Tamandua tetradactyla: one gene and its partner. The protein of the gene in region 2 purifies or fractionates together with the protein of the main gene of each other region. This does not show direct contact. Links are inferred from orthologs where the notes say so. Each region holds a gene or a part of one and is shown on either strand. Other genes may lie near its edges.

Region 1 (7,605 bases), on a different chromosome or scaffold from region 2:
ATGGGGCTGGGGGAGCAGGGGTTGTTGGGGGAAAAGGGGTTTTCCAGAGAAGCAAACCTGGTAGAGAAAATGCAAACTAGTCAATTCATGAGGAGTCAATGAAAATATCAAATCATGCAGCCATTTAAAATTTAAGATCAGCATTCCAGGTAATTTTGATTTTAAGTTTATTTTATTATGCCTTATATGATTGCCACCATCTTCAGTCTCTAAAGCCTTTCCTGAAAGTATTGGTTTGTTTGGATTGCGACCCAAGTTCAGGTCAGGAGGACGTCAGCCTCACAGCTCCTTCAGAAATGACACATGAAAATGAGCTTCATCTCAGGGGATGTTTTCTTCTTACTGTTGGTTGATGTTTCATTACTATTTGCGCTAAAAGAATATTGTCAAACATATACCAAATAAAACACATTTTATTCTTCCATGGAACTCATATTTGAAGATTTTAAGTTCACTGAATTCATAAATGCAGCATCTAAGAAAGTGTGCTAGTTCTCTGTGGTCTGCTTTCTTAACTAATAAGTAGCAAATAAAAGAAACACAGACCATGACATCTCACGTGTATGCAATGTGTGGCCCTCGTATGGATCCTGATTTGAACCAGCCGATCATTAAAAAAAGCATGGATGAAACACTTGGGGACAGCTGGGTGCTGACTGCCCACATGAAGATATTAAGGAATTCTTTATTTTTTAATAAGTTTTTTTTGGGGGGTGGGGTGGGGGCTGCATGGTCCAGGAATCGAACCTGGGTCTCCCGCATGGAAGATGGTATTCTGCCACTGAACCACCTGTGCACCCCAAGGAATTATTAATTTTTAAATTTAATAATGGTATTGTGTTAAAAAGGGATACTTGTATTTTAGAGAGACATACTAAGTTATTTATGAATTAAATAGATATGGCAGCTGGGATTTGTGTGCATGTATTGCTGGGGCTGCGGCAAGGAGAGGAGGGATGAGGGGTAAGAATGAAACAAGATGGGCTGTGTGTTGATAACACAGAAGCTGAGTGATAGAAGGAGCAGGATTCACCGTATTATACCCTCAACTTTTGTACATGTTTAAACATTTCCATAAAATTAAATGTCATTTGATTATGCAAAACCAAAGAGGCTTTAAGCTTCTCAACCCAGTGATCAAACTTAGCATCCCTAAAAGTGAGACATCCAGACATTATGTGCCTGCTGATGCCACGGAATGAAAAGTGGGTAGCATCACCTATAACATACTCTCGTCAAAAACTTTCAGCTTGAATCTAATCAACACTTTAGATCTCACTTTAAGTTTATAGGAACAGGAAAGAAGAAAAAAAGGTAAGGTAAACATTACTGACCGTGAGTAAATAATCAGGCAAATCCAGAATGTCAGATATTAAAATAGCCAATGTCATGAACAAATACTAATTCTAATACTAATGCTAATACTAATCCCAATGCTAATCCTAATGAAGATGTGTCATTTAGAGAGACTGACCCCTGGCAGTCTGCTAATGCCAATGTACTCTTTCTTAGAAATCTGTTTTTAAATGCAGAAAGAAAAAAAGCCCACATAGGTGTATAGAAGGTAAAATATTACATTGAAGTACAGTTATCAAAATATTTTTAGAATGCGATATGCTGGTGTTTATGCCTCAATATTAATGAATTAAATGACAACATCTAGTGGCATGCCTAATAATTCCAGTAATTTCAAAGTAGTGATGAATGTAAATATATTTTAAATATCTGCAAGAACTTTAACATGATATAAAAATATCTGCAATTTCTACTGGCGACAAAGTCCAGGGTGCTGCTAATGCTAATGTAGTTGTTACCTTCATTTTTAATGAAGGGAAATGCTATATTTCAACTAGAGTCAATAAAGAAGTAAATTTTTTCCTATTCAACCTTTGAATTTTCCTACTCACCTTTTGAATTGCATTCATAGACTCCGGTTAAGAATCTTTGGCCTAGTTGTAAAAAGATGTAGGGGATTTAACAACCAAATGTCATTTAATGGATCCTGTTTTGAAAAAACAAATATGAAAATATTTTAGGGATAATAGTGGAAATTTTAGTATGGAGTACTGTATGATTTTAGGGCATTACTGTTAATTGTTTTGTATGTAATAATGGCACTGCGGCATGTACAAGAATGCCTTTATATTTCGGAAATGCATACTGAAGAAGTCAGGCTTCAAGAAATCATGATGTGTACACACACGCACACACATAGATGGGAAGATGTTCACAATTGTTGAATTTAGATGGCATATATTATTATTCCATTTTCCTGTTTGAATTTTTCATAGTTAAAAGAAAAAAGTGATTTAAGATGCTTTTATTGAGGAATAATGCAGATATGGTGATATGAATTAATTGTAAATGTATGGCTTGATGAATTTTTACCTAAGGAAGCATTCATATAACTATACCAGATCAAGTTATAAAATATTTCCAGCACCTCAAAAGTTCCCTGTCCCCCTTTCCCAGTTAAACTCCCCTTCCATTTCAGTTAACCACTTCTCTGATTCTGATCACCATTGAGAAAGTGTCTGGTTTTTTTTGCACAATGTTGTAGTTTGCTGGCTGCCAGAATGCAATATACCAGAAACGGAATGGCTTTTAAAAGGAGAATTTAATAAGTTGCAAGTTTACAGTTCTAAGGCCGAGAAAATTAAGCTTCTGAATTAAGCAAGTCTATTGAAATGTCCAATCTAAGGCATCCAGGGAAAGATAACTTTGGTTCAAGGAGGCTGATGAAGTTCACAGTTTCTCTCTCAAGTGAGAAGGCACGTGGTGAACACAGTCAGAGTTTCTCTCTCGGCTGGAAGGGCACGTGGTGAACACAGAGTCATCTGCTAGCTTCTTCTCCTGGCTTCCTGTTTCATAAAGCTCCCCGGGAGGCATTTTCCTTCTTCGTCTCCAAAGGTCGCTGGCTGGTGGACTCTGCTTCTCGTGGCTATGTCGTCCTGCTCTATTGTCTTTGAATCACTTCATTCTCCAAAATGTTTCCTCTTTCATAGGACTCCAGAAATTTATCAAGACCCACTCAAATAGATGGAGACATGTCGTCACCTAACCCAGCTTAACAACCACTCTTGATTAAATCACAGCTCCAAGGAGACAATCTGATTACAGTTTCAAACACATAGTATTCAGTAGGGATTAGAAGAAACAGCTGCCTTTACAAAATGGGATTAGGATTAAAACTTCGCTTTTCTAGGGGATGCACATCCTTTCAAACCAGCACATGCAACATGACTTACCGACATAGTAAAACAAACTTCTAGAGATCGATAATACCATGTTTGGCAAGGATGTGGGAAAATAAGCCCTTTCTCAAATTACTGGTTGAAATGTAAATTGGTGAAGCCTATCATAGGGCAGTTTAAAATGCCCACACTCTGACTTAGATATTCTATATGCAGGGAACCTAAAAAAAAAAAAAAAAGAAAAAGAAAAGAAATGTGCATAAAGATGGAGGCTCAAACATATAGGTCTCTAATAGTGAAAAGATGGAATTAGCCTAATTGTCCAGCTACACAAGCGAGATTAATTCTGGTATATTTATAATATGTCATGAACTATTAAAAATGTGACTTAGATGGGTATGTGACTGGAATGATCACTAGGCCATATCATTAAGTTAAAAAAGAAGACACAGAACACATGAACAGCCCATTCATGGTAAGAAAAAAAAAACATAGGAAAGGGCTGAAAAAGATATACATACCAAGCAGTACAAAGGCAAATGGGGGAAATCAAAGGAGTTCCTTGAGTTTTGCCCTGCATGCTGAACTTCTGAGTTGCTGCATCAGATACAACCCACACACTCAAGTATTGCTTGTGTCACTAAAACGTAAAGGTAAAAACTATTTTAACTTTAATGTAAATAATAGACAAAATGCTAGGATAAAGAAACGGCACGGATACATAGGCGACTTTTGTTCCCAGGGGAACTAGAACAGAAATGACAAGGAGACTTTCCACTATCTCTGTTTTTATAATATTTAATTAAAACAAGATTTTTAAGGATTACGTATTCAAAAATTTGAAAAATGCATATGGAGTAGTTTTGTGGGGGGAGGGAGTCACAGAGGCCCTGGCCCCTTTCTTCGTGTGGTTAATAGCACAGTTGTGCCAAAGGAGTTGTAGAGACAAGATGATCCGTAATCAGCTGGAATAAAGAGCTCGGGTTACTTGTGGGTTTCTGTGATAGAACAAAGGTCGTGTAGGAGAGGGGGCTTGGAGGAGAAACAGGAGTCAGACAGACGGAGAGGGGCTTGGAGAAGCCACGGAGACCAGGGTGGACGGAGGAGCGTGGGAGGGCGGGTGGGGGCTGCAGACGCGTGCAAAGCCCAGGCGGAGGGATTAATCCTCGGGTTCACGTTGGTTGAGCTTTCAGCCCGTTAAGACACCACGCTAAGCCTTTAACACGAAGTCCTCACAGTACACCCCAGGAAGGGGCTACCAGCCCCATTTGGCAGCAGAGCAAACCGAGGACTTTGCGGTCAGGGTGGCGGGACGAGGACCTGGGAAGGCCGTTCGCGGCGACCGTGCGCGCATCCACGAGACCAGCTCAGCCCGCGACAAAAGCCTCCGGCCGGCGTCGCTGCCGTCTGTGCACACCACCGGTGCCTTCCCACGGGCGGTCCTCTGCCCTCCAGCGGCCGAGCTCCACCCCCAGACCGCGTCCCGCTTCGACCGCAGCTCCACCCTCCCGGCCGCAGGGCCGAGGCCGGAGAAGGAGGGTCGGCGCAGGAGACAACCGACCACCAAGCAGTTTGGGAGGGAGTTGGCCGCCGCACGAAGCTTCCGGTCGGGGACCCTATCTCCCACCGCCTTCCGGCCAGACTGCAGCCCCCAAAGCTTTCCTACGCACCCCCGACTGGGGACCTGCCACGGAAAGCGGGCTCACCGGCAGCCCTGACCCCTCCCCCGCCCCGCGGCGTCCCCATTTTGGAACTACCGTTCCCGGCGTGCCCCGGGGCGGCGCGGACGGAAGGGCGCCTGCGCGGCGGGCAACCGACGGCTGGAACTGAGGCTGCGCGGGTCGCGGGGCTGTGACGTCTGCGGGCGCTGGCAAATCGGGCGCGGGATGTAGAGTTGGCAGAGCCTGACGGCGCGGCTGACGCTGAGTTGGGTGGGGTAGAGAGTAGGGGGCGGTAGTCGGGGGTGGTGGGAGAAGGAGGAGGCGGCGGCGAATCACTTATAAATGGCGCCGAAGCAGGACCCGAAGCCTAAATTCCAGGAGGGTGAGTCCGGACGCGGGAGAGAGGCACTCAGCGGCGCAGGCGGGGGAGGCGGGCTCGGGGTGGGTGAGGTCTGGGGGCCGGGGGCGGCGTGGGCTGCGCCCCGAGAGGGCGGCGGGTGGCGCTTTGTGGGGACAGCGCATTGCGGAGGGGAGTCTCACTGCGTCATGGGGAGAAAACGCCGTGGGAAGCGGCAGCGCTAGGCAGGCGGTGAGAACTGCAGAGGGAGCGTCTTGCGCGTGGCGGACCTCGGCCGAGTGTTTGTTATTGTTCTGAAGAAGGGGGCGCGGAGAACGCAGCCTATTGTAGGGAGGCGACTGGGACGCCATGGCGGCGGGTAGGGGAAGTGATGTGGCGCGGGGGGAGGGGAGGCAGCGGCGGCTGTTTCGGGCGCCGGGGCGGGGTCGCCCGGCCTCGCCGACGGCCGGCTTCTAGCGGTCGAGGGCCGCCTGCAGCTCCCGGGTGGCCGCGTGCGGTGTAGACGCCCGGGTGCGCCGCGGGGGTGGGTGAGCGCCCCAGGGCGGGAGAACTGCGTTGTAAAATGGCCGCCGCAAGATGGCGGCCCCGCCGGGGCTGCCGGCGTCGCGGCCTCGGGCGGCAGACGTAGCTTCGGGGCGGATGCAGCGCCCCCCTCGTCGCGACCGCGCGTTTACCTCCGAAAGGCGGGTGGGACGAAAAAGACAGCCGGGAGCGGTGCCGCCGGCCTCGGGCTGCCTGAAGGCCTCTGGTCTTGCGCTCCGAGAGCGGAGCGCCGAGGTTTCCGTGAGGAGTGCGCGCTTCCTGCTGTGCGGCTCCTCGTGAAAAGGAAAGAAAAAAGCAGTGGCTCGTGTCTCCATTTCGAAGTCCTGTTGCCCGGATGTTAGGCTAACTGCAATTAGAATATGACGAAGAGTGATTTGAGAGCTCAATTGGCTTTTATTAGTTGCCTCTGGGTCAGATGTTTCGGCTGGCGTTAGCAGTGGGTGCTCGTGGAAGATGGGGCCTCCACGCGCGAGGAGGAAGTAAATCCTCTAGCCGAAAGGAACGCTTTCACGCCGGCCAGTTTTCATAAATGCGGATGTCCATACGCCCTGTATAAAACTTTTGTTTCAGGAATGTTCTCACATCGGTATGCGTTCGAATTACTTTTGGAGTCATGTAGCCAAAATCCAAGGGTATTATGTTTTTATGGAGTATTTAAGGGGTTTCCAAAGGTATTCTGGATAATGGTTCTTTTTAAATTGCTTTTAAAAGACTCTGTGACCGTGCTGTCATTTTTTGTTGTTAAAAAGTGTGGGTTTACAGAAAAATGATGCTTAAGATGCAAGATAACGTTTGTTATCATTGATGAAAGCACATTTTTATAATTGTACTATTGACTGTAGTCCGTGGTTTAACTTAGCCGTCACTGTGTTGTGCAGTTCGTTTTGGTTTTTTTTTAATTTTAGTAACATGTACACCCAGAAAATACTTAATACCTCCTGTGTCCCACTTGGAGAGATTGCGACTTTATCGTACGTCCTGTGGCTTCATTATCTTACTAGGTGCTTTAGACCAGGGATCCTTAATGTAGGGTCATTAGACAGAATTCAAAGGGTCCGGTGAACTTGGACGAAATTCTGTGTTTCAGTTATGATTGTAAGCCAAATAAAAACAGTCCACAGTAATATTAGCAGTACTGTGATTGTCGCCAGCAAAAATCAGTTATTTCCATATCGACATTGTGGTTACTGAATGCTCTTCATTACCTCAAAATGATAGTTATTGCATCAGCAGTTAAATCTTAACTAAGGAGCATGTGTAATACCATAGGAAATTGTACTTCAATGTTTTGACAACTACTATTTCAGTTACAGTTGGTTTTATTTGTATTTCAGAACATTCTAAGAGGAGGCCCATAGGCTTTAACAGGCTGTCAAGGGTCCATGATACAAAAAATTAATCCCTAATATAGGATATCAAAGCAGGAAAATCACTGGCATCTGAAACCATTTTACTCATGGCTTCCTGGAGGAAGTGTTTTATTTAGTTCTGAACTAGAGAGATGTAGAGTGAGGTGGGTAGAAGTAAATGAGAGTCCATGTGCTGCTATCCATAGTGGTTTGAGGAAGCAAGGTAGGGGTAAATTTTTGAAAGGTTTGCAAGAATCTCTTAACATCGTTTTCCGTGTGTGTTTTCTACTTTCGTATGAATACTGAATTCTCTAGCCATCTTTAGTAAATTACAGGTATTTATAAAATACATTCAGAATCTTTTGTAAGGAGGAAAGGAATATTCTGTTAATGCGAGAAGAATCATCTTGAAACACGATAGAAGAGTATATAATGATAGGGATATGAAATAACAAAATGAGGAGATAGCATTTTTTGCTGTTTATGATTCCTTTAAATTT
Region 2 (7,754 bases):
GGCAGAAACCTCTGGCCGAGGAGAGCCTGATTATGTGGTACAGCCGATCGGATTCCCACTAGGACAGATACCACGCCCCACACCGAAGCAGCCGGTGCCAGCTGAGGAGGCCTGCACGAGGGGCCCAGCGTGATTCCCACTGCCAGGCCCAGGGTGGCTGGGTGCAGGTTTTGCCACCACTCAGCCAAGTCCCTGGCCACTCTGAGCCTCAGTTTGCCCATCTGAAGTATGGGGCCAAGAGCAGTGACTGCAGAGGCTGAAGGACTCTGTGGGGCCCTTCGAGGCTCTCCATGGACCTTGGCCTTGCACCCGGTTCTGGATTCCAGGTTCCAGCAAATTCCAGTAAGGTCTAGCAATAGCCAGACTGGGCTGTTAACTGCAGGGCCAGGTCTCTCACTTTCACGGGGACTCGGTTGCCCTTCTGAGAAATGGGGAGATTCCCACTTAGCTCTGGACCTAGGCCCGGCCCACGGTTGGCCCCAGACACTATGCTTTCCCTTCTCCTCTCACGGACATGGGGGGAGACCAGGAAGGGGAGGCTGGGCTGGGAGATGGGGGAGCCAGTGGCCTCCGTGAGTCAGCGGCCACCCCGCCCGTCCTTTCCCAACACCTCCTTCCCCCCTTCCCCTTTCACTTCCTCAGGCTCTTCAGGAGGGGTGCCCCCACCCCCACCCCGGACCTCTAGTGGCCCAACACCTGTGGGAATTTCCGAGCCCCCCCCCGGGCTGGGCAGGAAAGTGGGGGGAAAAGGCCACCCAGCCAGGAGGAGGTTGAACCCCTGACATCCACCAGCCCTCGTGGGCCCAAATGGCACTTCAGGGGTCCCCCTCCATACAGTGACCGCCCCAGGCCACCTGGGAGCCACGTGTCACACCTGCTCGGTTCACAGCCCAGGTGGCAGGGCCAGGAGTCCCCAGAACCTGCCGTGGCTGTTGGCCCCCCATCCTCTGCCCCAGAGGCTGCCGTGACCTCTGGGTGGCTGTGAGCAGGTCGCTGTGCACACGAGAGAGGGGACAGGAGCATCCACCCCAGCTCACCTGGACAGCCCCACCCCGCCCCCAAGGGGCCCCTTCCTTGCAGCCCCCTGGGTCTCTCTGGGGGGGTCTAGGCTTCTCATCCAGAGAATGGGCACAGTCAGCCCAAGGACCTTCATGGGATAAAAGGGCATAGCTGGTGAGCCTGTGGAGGGGAAGCCCAGGGAAGCTTTTTGTTTCTTTTTTTTTTAATCATTCAAGCAAGTCTGGGAACCCCCCTGGAAGGCTGGGCAGGTTTTTCTGAGTGCCCTGGGGGAGTGGAAGTGAGAGGGTAGTTTTTAAGGATTTTTAAAAACTCCCCCATGAAGTGTCTAGAAGTTCCCAGTTTCTCCAGGACAGCTCCCACCCCCCAGATAACCCCTTAGGGGGTGGGGGAATCTGGGTGGTGGGGCAGAGGCTGCCAGGTCTGGGGAGCCAGCCAGGGTGCTGCCCAGGGCACAGCCCATCTCTCTGCCCCTGGGCCTTTGACCAGGCTGTTCTCCAACCTCCCCTAGCTGGCTGGTCACCTCCTCAGGGAGGCCTTCCTGAACTACCCTTTAAGAAGCTCTGGCTGGGTCTCTACTTCTCAGTCATGGTAGAGGAAGGAGGAGGTCACGGCAGGCTTCCTGGAGGTGGCAGTCCAAGAGCTGACCCCTCCCTGAAGACTGAGAAGTCTGGCAGGAGGTGAGGGACCCCAAGCATAGGCCCTCCCAGGACCTCAAGACTCCTGAGGTCCACTTGCTCAAAGGAGCCGAGGTTTCTTCTTAAGATCATACTGCAAACAGGGAAAGTGGGGATGCAAGAGGCAGAGGAGAGAGGAAGCTTAGGCCCTCAGGATGGATTGCTGTGTGACTGCAGGCTGGTGGTTGTTCTCTCTGAGCCTCAGGAGACAAGTGCTGAGGAGTGAGGCAGGGCCCAGGAATTTAGAGTTTGGAAGCACCTTTGGACCCATTCCCTTGGGACATTCCAGGCTTTACTCAGGGAGGGGCAGTATAAGGCAGGAGGTGAGGCCACTGCTTTTGGGGACCCCGAGCCCAGCTCAGCACCCTTCACACAGGAGCCTAAGCCCTGGGTGCTTTACCAGTCCTGCTTCAGTTTCCCCATCTGTAAAAAGGGGGTGTGCTTGCTGGAATATCTTAGCCCCTTTGCCTCACCCCTTCATTCAATTACCCCTCACTGAGAGCCCTCTGGTTGCGGGGTCCCTGCCTTCCTGTGGCCCATGGTCTAAAAGGGGGGCCTCTTCTCCTGCTCAGCCCTATCCCAGACCCTCCCTCTGAAAAAAAAGGAGCTTGGGCTGCCTACCCGGCAGGCCCAGGGCTTGGTGGCTGGTGGCTGTTTGGCAGGAGAGGGCATGGGGTGTGGGGGAATCTGGCTCCAAAAGGCTACGGACACCCTAGCCTGGGGCCTGGCAGGGTGAAGGAACCAAGAGACCTGGGACCCAGTGCTGGGCCCCAGGTTCATGGTGGACCCAACCGGCCCCAAGTCTCGGCAGAACCCCCACCCCCACCCCCGCACCCCACCCCGCAAAGGCAAAGTTCCCGAGTGAAGAATAACCTGTTCACTTCCTCTCCCTCCCCTCCTCCCCCTCCCCCAGCAGGCTGCACTTCCCCTTTCCCCTTCCCCTGCTTTCTTGCTCTGCTCAGGCCCATTTACTGGCCAGGCCCCATCCCACCCTGCCCCAGGCTTGCTGCCCAGCCCCTCTGGCCCCTCATCTCCCCAGAGTCTGGACTGAGGACACCCAGCCAATCATTTCTTCATTCAACAGAGCAGGGCCCTGAGGGGGTTATGGGGGGCGTGAGCAAGGCAGGAAAGTGGGAGTGACATACCCTCAAAAGCCAAATTACCAATACTAGTCCAGGGTAGCTGTCTTATGTGGGGAGGAAAGTGGAGGATAATGATGCTAAAGTCCTCTCTAAGAAGGGGCCTTCTGGTATGGGCCTTGAAGGATGCATAGGAGATCACCAGGAAGTGGCTGCTGCAGACAGTGGGTACCATAGGCCAGCGGGCAGCCCAGGTCCTGCTCAGGGACCAGTGTTTCCCACTCGGTGCCCAGAGCCACCCCAAGAACCTCCCACCCTATGCCTGTAGCCCCGAACTCAGTACCCCACCAGGCTCATCGACAGGCAGCGCAAAGGGGTGCCCCCTGGCCTGGTGAATTACAGGGCTGGCAGGTCGTGAGGTGGCTGGCGAGATGCCCGTGATCGAGAAAGAAGGCCAGGGCCAGAGCTGCCAGCCTCCGGGAGGCAGCGAGTGGACAGGCTGGGAAAGTTTACCCAGGCCCACGCGAGGATGGGGGAGTGGCCGCAGCTTCTTGGCAGGTCTCTGGGAAGGCTGGCATGTGACTTGGACCGTGTGGCCTCTGCTGTAGCTGCGTGGGGGTCTCTCTTCCCACCTGGGGATGGCCTCTGTGGTGCTACCCTGCCCCCAGGCCCATCCAACGAGCTGGAGCAAGCCACCTCTTCTCCAGCCGCAGGCTCTCCATCCCCACAGGGCCGACGGTCCTCCCGCTTTCTCACCGCCATCGGGTGCCCAGAGATGGCCAGTGACAGAGGGACGAAGAATGCCTGTGGCCTCTTGTCACCCCGAGTTAAGCCCACCCCTGGTCCTCCAGGCTGAGTCCCCGGGCGCCAGGCTTGTCTGACACACACTGATCTTCATGTGTCCCCACCTGGGAACCCTAGGACAGAGGACTGGGCTGTCCATTTTGGACGCCCCCCGCCCCCCACCGAACATTCCCAGAGACATGGGTCTTGCCCAATGTGGGGTGCACAGACCCAGGGCAAGAAAGGTTGAGAAGAGGGTCTTCTCTGAGACCAGCTGGCTTTGGGTTCCCACCACTGCCCTCCCCCCAACTCCCCTCTGGCACATTGCGTTCCTCCCCAGAGTCCTTCCCGGCCTCCAGATGGTCCAGGGAAGCAGCTCAGCTGTGGCTGTCCATGACGGAAGATGGATGGAGGGGCCCAGCCTCGAAGGGGGGCAGAGTCAGCCCTGCCAACCCCACCCAACAGCTAACGGCTTAGGCTGGGTGTGACCAGGCGGGCGTCAGAGGCAGCCTGGCTCCTTGGAAACAGTTTCCCTGCAGCAGGGGAGGCTTGCAGCCTTTCCGCCAGGGAAGCTCAGCCCCAGGTGTCTGAGAAGGGCCCCAGCCCACAGCCAGCCCAGCAAACACCTCCAGAGTACCCCCAGGCCAGGCCTCCTGGGCAGTTGAGCTAATGTTGGCAAGGGGGAGTGACTGTGACCGTCCCCTGCCTGTGTCCCCCTCAATGCCGCTGCAACTTCAGCACGTGCCTGCGGCAACCAGCGCCCTTGCTTCCATGCTGACCCCTTGCCCACCGAGGCCTGCTGTGCTCATGTGACATCCACACCCACAGGGTCACGGGTGGGGGTCGCGGCGACACCAGCAGCCTGAAACCAGGCCTGGCCCGCAGGGCCGGCGTGGACACTGCCCATCCGGGGGACGACCCCAGGCCTGCACCCCTGGCCCATGGGCCCGGCACCCAAGGGCGGCTAACGCCAAAACTCTCTCCCTCCTCCGCCCTCCCTTCCTCAATCTCGCTCACGCTCTTTCGCTCGCTCCTTTTTTTTTTTTTAAAGGAGGGGAGAGGGGGTAAAAAAATGCTGCACTGTGCGGCGAGGCCGGTGAGTGAGCGGCGCGGGGCCAATCAGCGCGCGCCGTTCCGAAAGTTGCCTTTTATGGCTCGAGCGGCCACGGCAGTGCCCTATAAAACCCGGCGGCGCGACGCGCAGCCACCGCCGACACCGCGTCCACCCCGCGAGTACAGGCCTCTCGCCGCTCAGCCGCCACCACCGCCGGTTTACATTCGCCACCTCCAAGGTAAGTCGCTCTGGCCAGGCACCGAGGCAGGGTCCCCGCGCGCTGATGGCCGGGCACCGAGGCAGGGTCCCCGCGCGCTGATGGCCGGGCACAGAGGCAGGTTCCCCGCGTGCTGATGGCCGGCGCCCAGGCAGGGTCCCCGCGTGCTGATGGCCGGCGCCCAGGCAGGGTCCCCCCGCGTGCTGATGGCCGGCGCCCAGGCAGGGTCCCCGCGTGCTGATGGCCGGCGCCCAGGCAGGGTCCCCCGCGCACGGATGGCCCGCGCGGAGGGAGGGTCCACGGGCGCTGATGGCCGACGCCCAGGCAGGGTCCCCGCGCCTCCATGCCCTGGAGGCAGCGCCCCGTGGCAGCGTCCACTTGGTCTCCAGCCGCGGCCCCACGTCGCCCGTGGAGAGCCGCCCCCAAACCCCGCGACAGGCGGGATTCCACCTCCCTCCCCAGCTCTGGATCCGAGACCATGAGCCCGTAGCGAGCGGCTTGGAGGAGTCCTGGGGTGGGGGGAGGCCGCGGTGACCGGCCGGGTCTTTGTCCAAGCGGGCAGGTGGCTGTCCCCTGTCCCCAGGGTGGGCGCAGCGAGGCCGGGGTGGGGGTTGGGACGCTACCGCGCGTGCGTAAGTGCGTGCTCCCCGCTCCCCACTGCCCCCACCATAGCACCCCCGTCTATCGCCGGCCGGACAAGGGCGCGGGCAGGGCCGGGGTGCACGGCCCAGGCCGGGGCGCAGGGCGAGGGCGGGGCCGGCCCTCCCGGAAGGGGTGGGGTCGGCGGGCCTCCAGGGCGCCTGCGCGCGCCGCCCCGCGCCCCCGCCGAGGGTGTGGCCGCTGAGCCCCAACTGAGCGGGGCGGGGGCGGGGCCGCCGGGCGGGGGCGGGGCCTGGCTTCCTGCCGCGCGGCGCCGCCGCCGCGACCCGCACTTGCCTTTTATGGAAATAGCGCGGCCGGCCGGGCTTCCTTTGTCCCGAGGCCGGGCGCGCGCCGGCGCCCTCTGGCGGCCGGAAGTGGGCGGGCGGGCGGCCCCTCCCCCGCTCACGGCCTCGCCCCCCCGACCCGCAGCTCACCATGGATGATGACATCGCTGCGCTCGTGGTCGACAACGGTTCCGGCATGTGCAAGGCCGGCTTCGCGGGCGACGATGCGCCCCGGGCCGTCTTCCCTTCCATCGTGGGGCGCCCCCGGCACCAGGTAGGGCGGCCAGGCCCGCTTTGAGCTGGGTGAGGTCCCGGGGGCAGGGGGGGGTCTGGGCTGCCCGCACAGGGGCTGACCCCGTCCCTTGTTCCGTAGGGCGTGATGGTGGGCATGGGCCAGAAGGACTCCTACGTGGGCGACGAGGCCCAGAGCAAGAGAGGCATCCTGACGCTGAAGTACCCGATCGAGCACGGCATCGTCACCAACTGGGACGACATGGAGAAGATCTGGCATCACACCTTCTACAACGAGCTGCGCGTCGCCCCGGAGGAGCACCCGGTGCTGCTGACCGAGGCCCCCCTTAATCCCAAGGCCAACCGTGAGAAGATGACCCAGGTCAGTGCTCCCCGCCTCTCCCGGGCGGCCCGCGGTCCTCTCCCTGCGGTGCCTTCCCTCCTCTCAACTTGTTCTTCTCTCTGCCGTTCTCCATAGGACTCTCTTCTCTGACCTGAGTCTCCTTTGGAACTCTGCAGGTTCTGTTTGCTTTTTCCCCAGATGAATCCTCTTTCTGGTGTCTGTCCCTTTTACTAGGTGTTCCTAAAGTGCTGTGGATTTAGGTACTAACACTGGCTCGGTGGCAGCCAAGGACGCTGGTGTAAATTGCCTTGGAGTGTGTCTGATTGCACCACCTTAGGCCTGGACTGAGCCCCTGCCCCCGTGTCCCCCTCCCCAGCACACTTTTACTGTGTTCCTTGCACTCTTCTGCATGTCCCCAGTGTGGCCAGCTGTCCCTGTCCCCTCCTGGACATGACGAGCCCCCCACTACCCCTCTCCCTCCAGATCATGTTCGAGACCTTCAACACCCCTGCCATGTACGTGGCCATCCAGGCTGTGCTGTCCCTGTACGCCTCTGGCCGCACCACGGGCATCGTCATGGACTCCGGCGACGGGGTCACCCACACCGTGCCCATCTACGAGGGCTACGCGCTGCCCCACGCCATCCTGCGTCTGGACCTGGCCGGCCGGGACCTGACCGACTACCTCATGAAGATCCTCACCGAGCGCGGCTACAGCTTCACCACCACGGCCGAGCGCGAAATTGTGCGTGACATCAAGGAGAAGCTCTGCTACGTCGCCCTGGATTTCGAGCAGGAGATGGCCACCGCCGCCTCCTCGTCCTCCTTGGAGAAAAGCTACGAGCTGCCTGACGGCCAGGTCATCACCATCGGCAACGAGCGGTTCCGCTGTCCCGAGGCCCTCTTCCAGCCCTCCTTCCTGGGTGAGTGACCACGTGGCCTCCTAGCCCTGCTCCCGCCATCCTCCCCCTTAAGGCCAGGCCCCCCACGCCCCCCCAGCCCGGGTTGCCTTGCTGTGCAGGGAAGCTAAGACCAGTCTCTCTCCCTCCAGGCATGGAATCCTGTGGCATCCACGAAACTACCTTTAACTCCATCATGAAGTGTGACGTGGACATCCGCAAGGACCTTTACGCCAACACGGTGCTGTCTGGCGGGACCACCATGTACCCGGGCATCGCCGACAGGATGCAGAAGGAGATCACAGCGTTGGCACCCAGTACGATGAAGATCAAGGTGAGTCTCTGGTGGTCAAGGGGAGCCTTCATCTCCGGGTCTGGGGCCTGGGCACCAGCCCCTCCCCCAGCCCTTTGCGTCACCAGGATAGGATCTTCAGGCTGACGGTCTCCCTTCCCTCCCCAGATTATCGCCCCCCCTGAGCGCAAATACTCCGTGTGGATCGGCGGCTCCATCCTGGCCTCGCTGTCCACC

Evidence for each region. The genes of interacting proteins can lie anywhere in the genome.
Region 1: the proteins of ACTB (region 2) and MORF4L1 purify together in Homo sapiens (affinity purification with mass spectrometry; 3 studies listed by BioGRID, with this or other methods). This does not show direct contact. The link is inferred for Tamandua tetradactyla from reciprocal best matches to the Homo sapiens genes ACTB and MORF4L1.

Annotation. Positions count from the first base shown.
Region 1 is NC_135340.1:94,397,760-94,405,364, reverse strand, and holds the start of MORF4L1 (mortality factor 4-like protein 1), read left to right. Parts: upstream 1-4,599; 5' UTR 4,600-5,197; coding exon 5,198-5,237; intron 5,238-7,605. UniProt on the Homo sapiens protein: Component of the NuA4 histone acetyltransferase (HAT) complex which is involved in transcriptional activation of select genes principally by acetylation of nucleosomal histones H4 and H2A.
Region 2 is NC_135349.1:4,685,512-4,693,265, reverse strand, and holds the start of ACTB (actin, cytoplasmic 1), read left to right. Parts: upstream 1-4,749; 5' UTR 4,750-4,848; intron 4,849-5,898; 5' UTR 5,899-5,904; coding exon 5,905-6,027; intron 6,028-6,126; coding exon 6,127-6,366; intron 6,367-6,810; coding exon 6,811-7,249; intron 7,250-7,377; coding exon 7,378-7,559; intron 7,560-7,685; coding exon 7,686-7,754. UniProt on the Homo sapiens protein: Actin is a highly conserved protein that polymerizes to produce filaments that form cross-linked networks in the cytoplasm of cells.